Linked DNA regions of Arabidopsis thaliana. The protein of the gene in region 2 interacts with the protein of the main gene of each other region in a biochemical or structural test. Each region holds a gene or a part of one and is shown on either strand. Other genes may lie near its edges.

Region 1 (4,480 bases), on a different chromosome or scaffold from region 2:
CCAATGAAAATGTCGCCAGAGGAGTCTTTCTCCGATCAGAAAGACCAGAGCTCTGGGATCTTCTATGAGGATGTGACCTTCCAAGATGTTCTCTTCGACTCAAGATTCCGAGGAGGTGGTATTTTGGTGATTGACTCAGCTCGTATCCGTATAACCAATTGTTATTTCCTCCATTTCACAACGCAAGGGATTAAAGTCCAAGGAGGTCATGAGACATACATTTCAAACTCCTTCTTGGGGCAACATTCAACGGTAGGAGGAGACAGAGAAGAAAGAGGATTTACTGGGACAGGAATCGATATCTCGAGTAACGACAATGCCATTACGGATGTAGTGATTTTCTCGGCTGGTATCGGTATCTCTTTGAATGGTGGTGCAAATATGGTTACGGGTGTGCATTGCTACAATAAAGCTACATGGTTTGGTGGCATTGGCATTCTAGTGAAATCACATTTAACGAGGATAGATAATTGTTACCTTGATTACACAGGTATAGTCATAGAAGACCCTGTCCATGTTCATGTCACCAATGCTTTGTTCTTAGGAGATGCAAACATCGTCTTGAGATCGGTACACGGGAAGATTTCCGGTGTAAACATCGTCAACAACATGTTTAGCGGTACCGCCAAAAACAACTTCCCGATTGTCAAGCTAGAAGGAGAGTTTCATGATATTAATCAAGTTGTGATTGATCAAAACAATGCAGAAGGGATGATGCTGAAATCAACAACCGGAAAGGCCATGGTTTCCGCAAATGGAACACGATGGATCGCTGATTTTTCCCCTGTTTTGGTATTCCCTAACCGGATAAACCATTACCAGCATTCGTTTTTCGCTCAATCCGGACAGATCCCTGCAAATGCAGTGACCAATGTCTCCAACAATATGGTGGTTGTAGAAACCGATAGAGCTGTAACTGGAACCGTGTCAATAATTGCTTATCAGTAAAACAACATTCTTCACATTGATCATATTCCTAATAAGAAAGCATGATTTGACATCTGATTTATACAAGTTCAGTTACAGTTTGGTGAGCTTGATACTAACAACTAATACCAGCAATCAGCAACCTCATCATTAGCGGCTTCTTCTGGCTCATCCGACTTCTCAGGTGGACCAGAAGTCCTAGGCAGTCCTTGGAAATCACGTTTACCTGGTTTCGCAATGTCTATATAAATCATTCTGCCATTGTACATCTGCAACAGAGGAATGGGAAACATTTAGGTTGATTTCAAGACATAAAAATGTAAACTTGTGATTGAAAGAAGCTTTTACCCGACGGTCCATGGTCTCTATGGCAAGAAAAGCATCATCTTGAGACGTGAATTGAATAAAAGCATAACCTTTTGATCTCTTCATTGCCTCATCTTTGATAAGCTTAACTGTTTTGAAGTATAAGAGTGAACATATCAATGCCATAAAACTGAACCTTAAAGCAACAAAACAGAGTAAAATTGAAACCGCAAACATACCTTCAGCTATCTCTCCAAAAGCTGAAAACTCTCTCTTTAGAAAATCTTCACTTGTAGAAAACGGTAAATCTACAAATTCAAAGTGAAGAAACATCAGAACCGTAGAGTAATTACCAAGTTGAAGTTACAACCAACTTCAACTTCACTAATGATTGCTACAAGAGCTTAGAGCTATCACATATGACTACCGTCACAATCCTGACTCAAATCAACTAATTTCAATCAAACCAGAATCATAAATTACTTTTGGAACAATAACAGAACCATGTCCTAATCTCAGCTAGAAGCGAATTCAAATATAAACCAAAAGATAATCTGAATCTTACTTCTGACCATGATTTTGCTCGCTAGAGGGTAATTAAAGAGCGAAGCTTTAATCTTTGGAAACCTAAGGTTCCTGTAATTAGGTAGAGAAGATGAAGAAGCCACAAAAGAAGGGAAAGATAACGTCGCCGACCACATAATTCACAGTCGCCGGAAATAGAGAGGGAGAAGAAGAAGAAACAAACAGAGAGTTATAAAACGACAGCGGTATAGTAAAAAGCTAAGGCCTAAGTTTTTTGGCCCAGTGATAAATTTGAAACTTTAGGCGGAAACTAAAAACATTTGAAACAATAAGGACTTAAAAAGTAATTTACTATTTATTTAGATATTGTAAAACCCACACAAAAACCCTAATTTCATTTCTCCAAAGCTTTCCAGAATACTCTCCACTCCTTCATAATTTCTCTGGCAACGATGGCTATGATATCTCACCGTCTCCGACGAGCTTTACTCACTGCGACTTCCTATGTTAACCGATCAATTAGCTCTTCGATCACACCAGCGTCTGATTTCCCTTCTGTGTCGGCGGCGGTGTTAAAGAGATCCGTTATAGGGCGTTCGACGGAAGTAGCTACTCGAGCACCGGCGAGACTGTTTTCAACGAGGCAGTACAAGCTTTACAAAGAAGGTGATGAGATCACGGAAGACACTGTGTTGTTCGAAGGATGTGATTATAATCACTGGCTTATCACTATGGATTTCTCCAAAGAGGAAACTCCTAAGTCTCCAGAAGAAATGGTCGCTGCTTATGAAGAAACTTGCGCCCAAGGACTTGGCATCAGGTTAGTAGATGAATTTTTGTCACTGCTTAGATTCGTTGCTTTTGGCTAAATTGTCCAAAAATCATTCAGTAAGTTACTTAAATGTGAGAACTTTACCATTGCTAGGGTTCCATTCACTGTTATATAGCTCTGCTTTGATTTTTGTGTATCTTCTTCTGGTATTGATATTGGTTAAGACGATTATATTGATTCATTTTTGGTGTTTATGGTTGAGTCAGCGTGGAAGAGGCTAAGCAAAGGATGTATGCTTGTAGCACAACTACTTACCAAGGATTTCAAGCAATCATGACTGAACAAGAATCAGAAAAGTTCAAGGGTATATAGTTCGAATCATTTATGTTTGTTTTCTTTTGAATTCAACTTTTTTCACCAGATATTGACTCTGTTATTGGTATATGTAAACAGATCTACCCGGAGTGGTTTTCATCTTGCCAGATTCCTACATTGATCCCCAGAACAAAGAGTATGGAGGTGAGCTGGTTTTTTTTACAAACTGGTCTTATTTTGGATATTTGTTGTTGGGACTCTATCAACAAAATTATGTTTCTTGTTTTCAGGAGATAAATACGAGAATGGAGTGATAACACACAGGCCACCACCGATTCAGAGTGGCAGAGCAAGACCTCGTCCTAGATTTGACCGTTCAGGAGGAGGAAGTGGTGGTCCCCAAAACTTCCAAAGAAACACACAGTATGGTCAGCAACCACCAATGCAAGGTGGTGGAGGGAGCTATGGTCCTCAACAGGGCTATGCCACTCCAGGACAAGGTCAGGGAACTCAAGCGCCTCCACCATTTCAAGGAGGTTATAACCAAGGCCCGAGATCTCCACCACCTCCATATCAGGCAGGTTACAATCAAGGCCAGGGATCTCCAGTGCCTCCATATCAGGCAGGTTACAATCAAGTCCAGGGATCTCCAGTGCCTCCATACCAAGGAACACAAAGCAGTTACGGTCAAGGTGGATCTGGGAACTATAGTCAAGGGCCACAAGGTGGTTACAACCAAGGAGGACCTAGGAATTACAATCCACAGGGAGCTGGAAACTTTGGTCCTGCATCTGGAGCTGGAAACTTAGGTCCTGCACCTGGAGCTGGAAATCCTGGCTATGGTCAGGGGTATTCTGGACCAGGACAAGAGCAGAATCAGACATTCCCACAGGCAGATCAGAGGAATCGAGACTGGAACAACAATAATCCAGCAGGCCAGCCCGGGTCTGACCAAGTAAGATCTCGATCAATAATGAATCTTGCATCTTTCTTTTTTGATATCCTCATCAGGCATTAAAGTACCCCATTTTCCCCATATTTGTTACTGAGATGGTCCTGTGTTTCAGTTTCCACAGGGAAGAAGGTACTAGACAGAGAGCATGCTGCAGTGAATTGAGCTGAATAAGGAGAGAAGTGTCAAAGGCCTTTTATTAAGTTTTACAGTAAATAGTATTTAGTCATCTTTCTACTTTGTAAGACAATAGTTAGTCCTTTTTTCTCTTAAGTTGAGCTTGTTAACGTTGTTGGTTGCGCTTGTGAAATTGAAACACTCTTTCTAGAAGTTCTTTTAAGACCTAATATGCTTGCTTTACCTGAGACATTTGGAATCGTCCACACTTGTAGCTACTGTATTCAGTCTACTAACCAAAAATCAAACGGAACTTTGAAGACCACTTTGAATAGAAATGATGAATTTTGTAAACACTTGGAGCTCTTTACATGGAGATAATGTTTCTAAAGCTAAAAGACAATACTTTCTTGTTTCTTCTTGACTGGTGGCAGTTTCGGTAATACCCAAGTAGGAGACTCGTTTAGCCACAGTGCTTCACCTGTCTCCTTGTGCTTGAAATCAGGGGCTTTTGCATTTCTCTTCAAAACAAAAACGATATTGGGACAATAGGTCAGTTTCTTGGA
Region 2 (4,048 bases):
GTTTAGTCCCGCGGCCAGAAAGAGTTCAAGTTCATCCACAAATCGGTCTGTTCTCGCCATTACAAATGGACGTGCTGCTTCTGAGACAACTGCTTTGAATTGTTCTTGATTTGTTGTCTCTGCGCTTCTTGTTTCTTGTTTGCGTCTCTGTTTGATTCTGAATATGAGAGAAATAGAGACTATTCATGAGCAAAACATCAAACTTCTACTTTGACCAGTTAAAACTCTAGCCAATCAAAATATATACCCACGAGTTCTAAGTTTTTACATTCTCCTTAAAACAATTACCTTTTGCAGAAGGATTCCATCACACCGACCAAATGATGCAGAACAATATCAACATCTTCCTCCTATAGACAAGGGAAAAAATTGAAGCAAACAAAGAACAAAATCATCTTTGCGAACAACTGAACAAGAAGATAACAGCAAAAAGGCAGAAATATCCATGAAAGGGATTTTGTACAGAAGCAAACCTGCATCAGAGCTTGAAGCTCCCTCCTCAACCAGGCTTCAAGGCACCGGTTCGGCTGGAGAAACTTTTGCAGCTTCCAAAACCGTGCAACATCGAATACATCGGCGAGGAAACCTGGTTAAGACCACAAAGAGACCGAGAAAGAGAAGGGAATTCTTGTAAAACTTTCATTCTTGATTGATAAACACATTTGAATCTACTTTCTATCAGTTTATTATTCCAAACTAAATCGAGTAACGGATTCCCAACTATTGTAATGGTATTGAATATTATGCGCAAGTGTGTTTTGATCTCAAAGTAAGTGCAGAGAAGGGAAAAACCTGATTCGGTGTAGTAACACTGCAACCTGTATCTCTGTTCTTTTGTTAATACAAAACTGAAAACAAGAAGATGAAAGTAGAGTAAGATATCACGAAATTCTCAGAACACATATATATTCAAATCAAGGAAACCACAAGCTAACCTACCCATCTGGAATATTCGGGTCGATATAATGCCGCTCAAAAGAACATCCATCGTAGTTGTGGATGATGGATAAATTCTCTGTCTGCATAAGTTATGGTCATTCCTGTAAACAAGTTCTTCAAGGTGTTGTGAGCAGAAAAGAGCGTTTCCAAGAAGCAGACCTTACAGAGAGGACATGTCACTGAGGAACGTTGCTTAGAGGCCTTGCTTGAAACAACTTTGATCCATTGTTTTATACAATTGAAACAAAACTTGTCTGCAACAAAACATAAAATCAAAACAAACATATATGTTCTAATCAGTTCATGGACGAAGGTCTCAGTCATTACCTTAACCATAAACCTACTATGGTCTATCTAAGATACACAAGAGCTAATCAATCTAATCTCTTTTTGGAATTAACTAATCAATCTGATTAAATTGTTCACAGAAAAAAAAGATTGAATCTTTGAATACACACTCAAAACTTCAAATTCTAGATGAAATCAAGAAGCATCTAACCACAAGTTTTAACAGAAAACTGAAAAAGAGAAGAAGCGTACGGAAACAGGTATCAAGGTAGGATTCACGGAGGAATTGTCCAAGGCAAATAGGACATGGATCAAAATCGGATCCATCGTCAATAGAACCGCTCCCGCCGGCGATCTCCTTCGCCGCCATACCAACTCACTGACTCAGGTCTCTCTCCGCTTGGCGCTGATTCAGCGTTACGGCGTCGTTGTGACTAAACACAGGTTATATTTTTCTTTTGTTGAAACTTTCAAAATAATCCTTAAACTCTTTCAACATTCAAAATAAACCCAAACTATTTTAAATTACCAAAATTTACCCGTCACTTTGATGAGTTTTTGTTTGTTATGGTTCCAGAATTAAAAAAAAACATTGCCTTTGAATTTCATGATAATCAAAGAATATGATGAAGAAGCACTACAAACCAATTCTCTCTCAGCTAGAGAATTGCAGATCATTGGTGGAACTGAATCAACTCCATGGTTTAATGATCAAATCCTCAGTTATCAGAAACGTCATTCCTCTAAGCCGACTCATAGATTTCTGCACTACTTGTCCTGAGACTATGAATCTCAGCTACGCGAGATCAGTTTTCGAAAGTATCGATTGTCCAAGTGTTTATATATGGAACTCTATGATCAGAGGCTACTCAAACAGTCCAAATCCAGATAAAGCATTGATCTTTTACCAAGAAATGCTTCGAAAAGGTTATTCTCCGGATTATTTCACTTTTCCTTATGTTCTTAAGGCTTGTTCTGGGTTAAGGGATATTCAATTCGGGAGTTGTGTTCATGGGTTTGTTGTGAAAACTGGGTTTGAAGTGAATATGTATGTTTCTACTTGCTTGCTTCATATGTATATGTGTTGTGGAGAAGTGAATTATGGTTTGAGAGTTTTTGAGGATATTCCTCAGTGGAACGTTGTTGCTTGGGGAAGTTTGATTTCTGGTTTTGTGAATAACAATCGGTTTAGTGACGCTATTGAGGCGTTTAGGGAGATGCAGAGTAATGGTGTGAAGGCAAATGAGACAATAATGGTGGATCTTTTGGTTGCTTGTGGTAGATGTAAAGACATTGTGACTGGGAAATGGTTTCATGGGTTTCTTCAAGGATTAGGCTTTGATCCATATTTTCAGTCCAAAGTTGGATTCAATGTGATTTTGGCTACAAGTCTCATTGATATGTATGCTAAATGTGGAGATCTGAGAACTGCGAGGTATCTGTTCGATGGAATGCCTGAGAGAACCTTGGTTTCTTGGAACTCCATCATTACAGGGTATAGTCAGAACGGTGATGCAGAGGAAGCACTGTGTATGTTTTTGGATATGCTTGATTTGGGTATAGCTCCTGATAAAGTAACCTTTTTGAGTGTTATCAGAGCTTCCATGATCCAAGGATGTTCACAATTGGGACAATCGATTCACGCTTATGTATCGAAAACCGGCTTTGTGAAGGATGCTGCCATAGTTTGTGCACTTGTAAATATGTATGCTAAAACCGGTGATGCTGAGAGCGCAAAAAAAGCGTTTGAAGATCTGGAGAAGAAAGATACAATAGCTTGGACCGTTGTGATCATTGGGTTAGCCAGTCACGGCCACGGGAATGAAGCATTGAGTATATTCCAGAGGATGCAAGAGAAAGGTAATGCTACACCTGATGGAATCACATATCTCGGGGTCTTATATGCGTGTAGCCACATAGGTTTAGTTGAGGAAGGACAGAGATACTTTGCAGAAATGAGAGATCTTCACGGCTTAGAACCAACAGTTGAACACTATGGATGTATGGTTGATATCTTGAGCCGTGCTGGTCGTTTTGAAGAGGCAGAGAGATTGGTAAAGACTATGCCGGTAAAACCCAATGTTAATATATGGGGTGCATTGTTAAATGGTTGTGATATACATGAAAATCTCGAGCTCACTGATCGGATAAGATCCATGGTTGCTGAGCCAGAAGAACTTGGTAGCGGAATCTATGTTCTTCTATCTAATATATACGCCAAAGCTGGCCGATGGGCTGATGTTAAGCTAATTAGAGAATCCATGAAGAGCAAAAGGGTAGATAAAGTTTTAGGTCATAGTTCTGTTGAAACAATGTTCTAATTCAGGGTCCTACTTGACCTCGTTATAAACCTTATTTTAAATTAAGAGGTCGTGATTTTCACCTCATTAACAACTAATTAAGATCACTAAAAAGAATAGTTTTGTTTGATTCTAAGAGAACAATAGTACTTTTGAATTAGTTTTCTTTGGAATAAAAGAAAGTCTAAAACTTTTCAGAAAACTGAAATACAAAAAGTCTTGGACTAGGTTTGATGTTTTATTCAATCTTCATCATCTGTATGCATCTGGTAAACTGTAACCAGGCAAGACTATCTTGTCAGCAAACATCTTCCCGGTCTTGGGCATGACATGCCAGTGTAATGTCAAGTTGAAGTCTTTGCCCCGAAGATTCTGTCCCTGAAAAATCCCAAATGATGATCAGTTTCCGTTTCTGACGAAGTAAAAACGCAGAAGACTTGTCCAGCTTGTTTACTGTACCTGATCGATGAAACGGTACTTGTTTGAGACTTGAATCCGGAATTTGGCATGTTCCTTGGCAG

Evidence for each region.
Region 1: the proteins of MEF19 (region 2) and MORF1 form a complex in vitro, tested with the Arabidopsis thaliana proteins (one study listed by BioGRID).

The regions. Positions count from the first base shown.
Region 1 is NC_003075.7:10,843,816-10,848,295, reverse strand, and holds MORF1 (multiple organellar RNA editing factor), read left to right. Parts: upstream 1-2,148; 5' UTR 2,149-2,210; coding exon 2,211-2,578; intron 2,579-2,796; coding exon 2,797-2,894; intron 2,895-2,983; coding exon 2,984-3,049; intron 3,050-3,135; coding exon 3,136-3,863; 3' UTR 3,864-3,894; downstream 3,895-4,480. Other genes in the region: AT4G20040 (Pectin lyase-like superfamily protein), read left to right, coding at 1-948; AT4G20030 (RNA-binding (RRM/RBD/RNP motifs) family protein), read right to left, coding at 1,050-1,196, 1,276-1,382, 1,473-1,541, 1,799-1,934; PTAC9 (plastid transcriptionally active 9), read right to left, coding at 4,307-4,435. UniProt on the Arabidopsis thaliana protein: Involved in organellar RNA editing. Required for the processing of numerous RNA editing sites in mitochondria. Binds to the mitochondrial MEF19 and MEF21 factors, two pentatricopeptide repeat-containing proteins involved in RNA editing.
Region 2 is NC_003074.8:1,493,184-1,497,231, reverse strand, and holds MEF19 (mitochondrial editing factor 19), read left to right. Parts: upstream 1-1,850; coding exon 1,851-3,548; downstream 3,549-4,048. Other genes in the region: AT3G05250 (RING/U-box superfamily protein), read right to left, coding at 1-157, 289-350, 474-586, 793-848, 940-1,019, 1,099-1,193, 1,480-1,597; AT3G05230 (Signal peptidase subunit), read right to left, coding at 3,780-3,905, 3,987-4,048.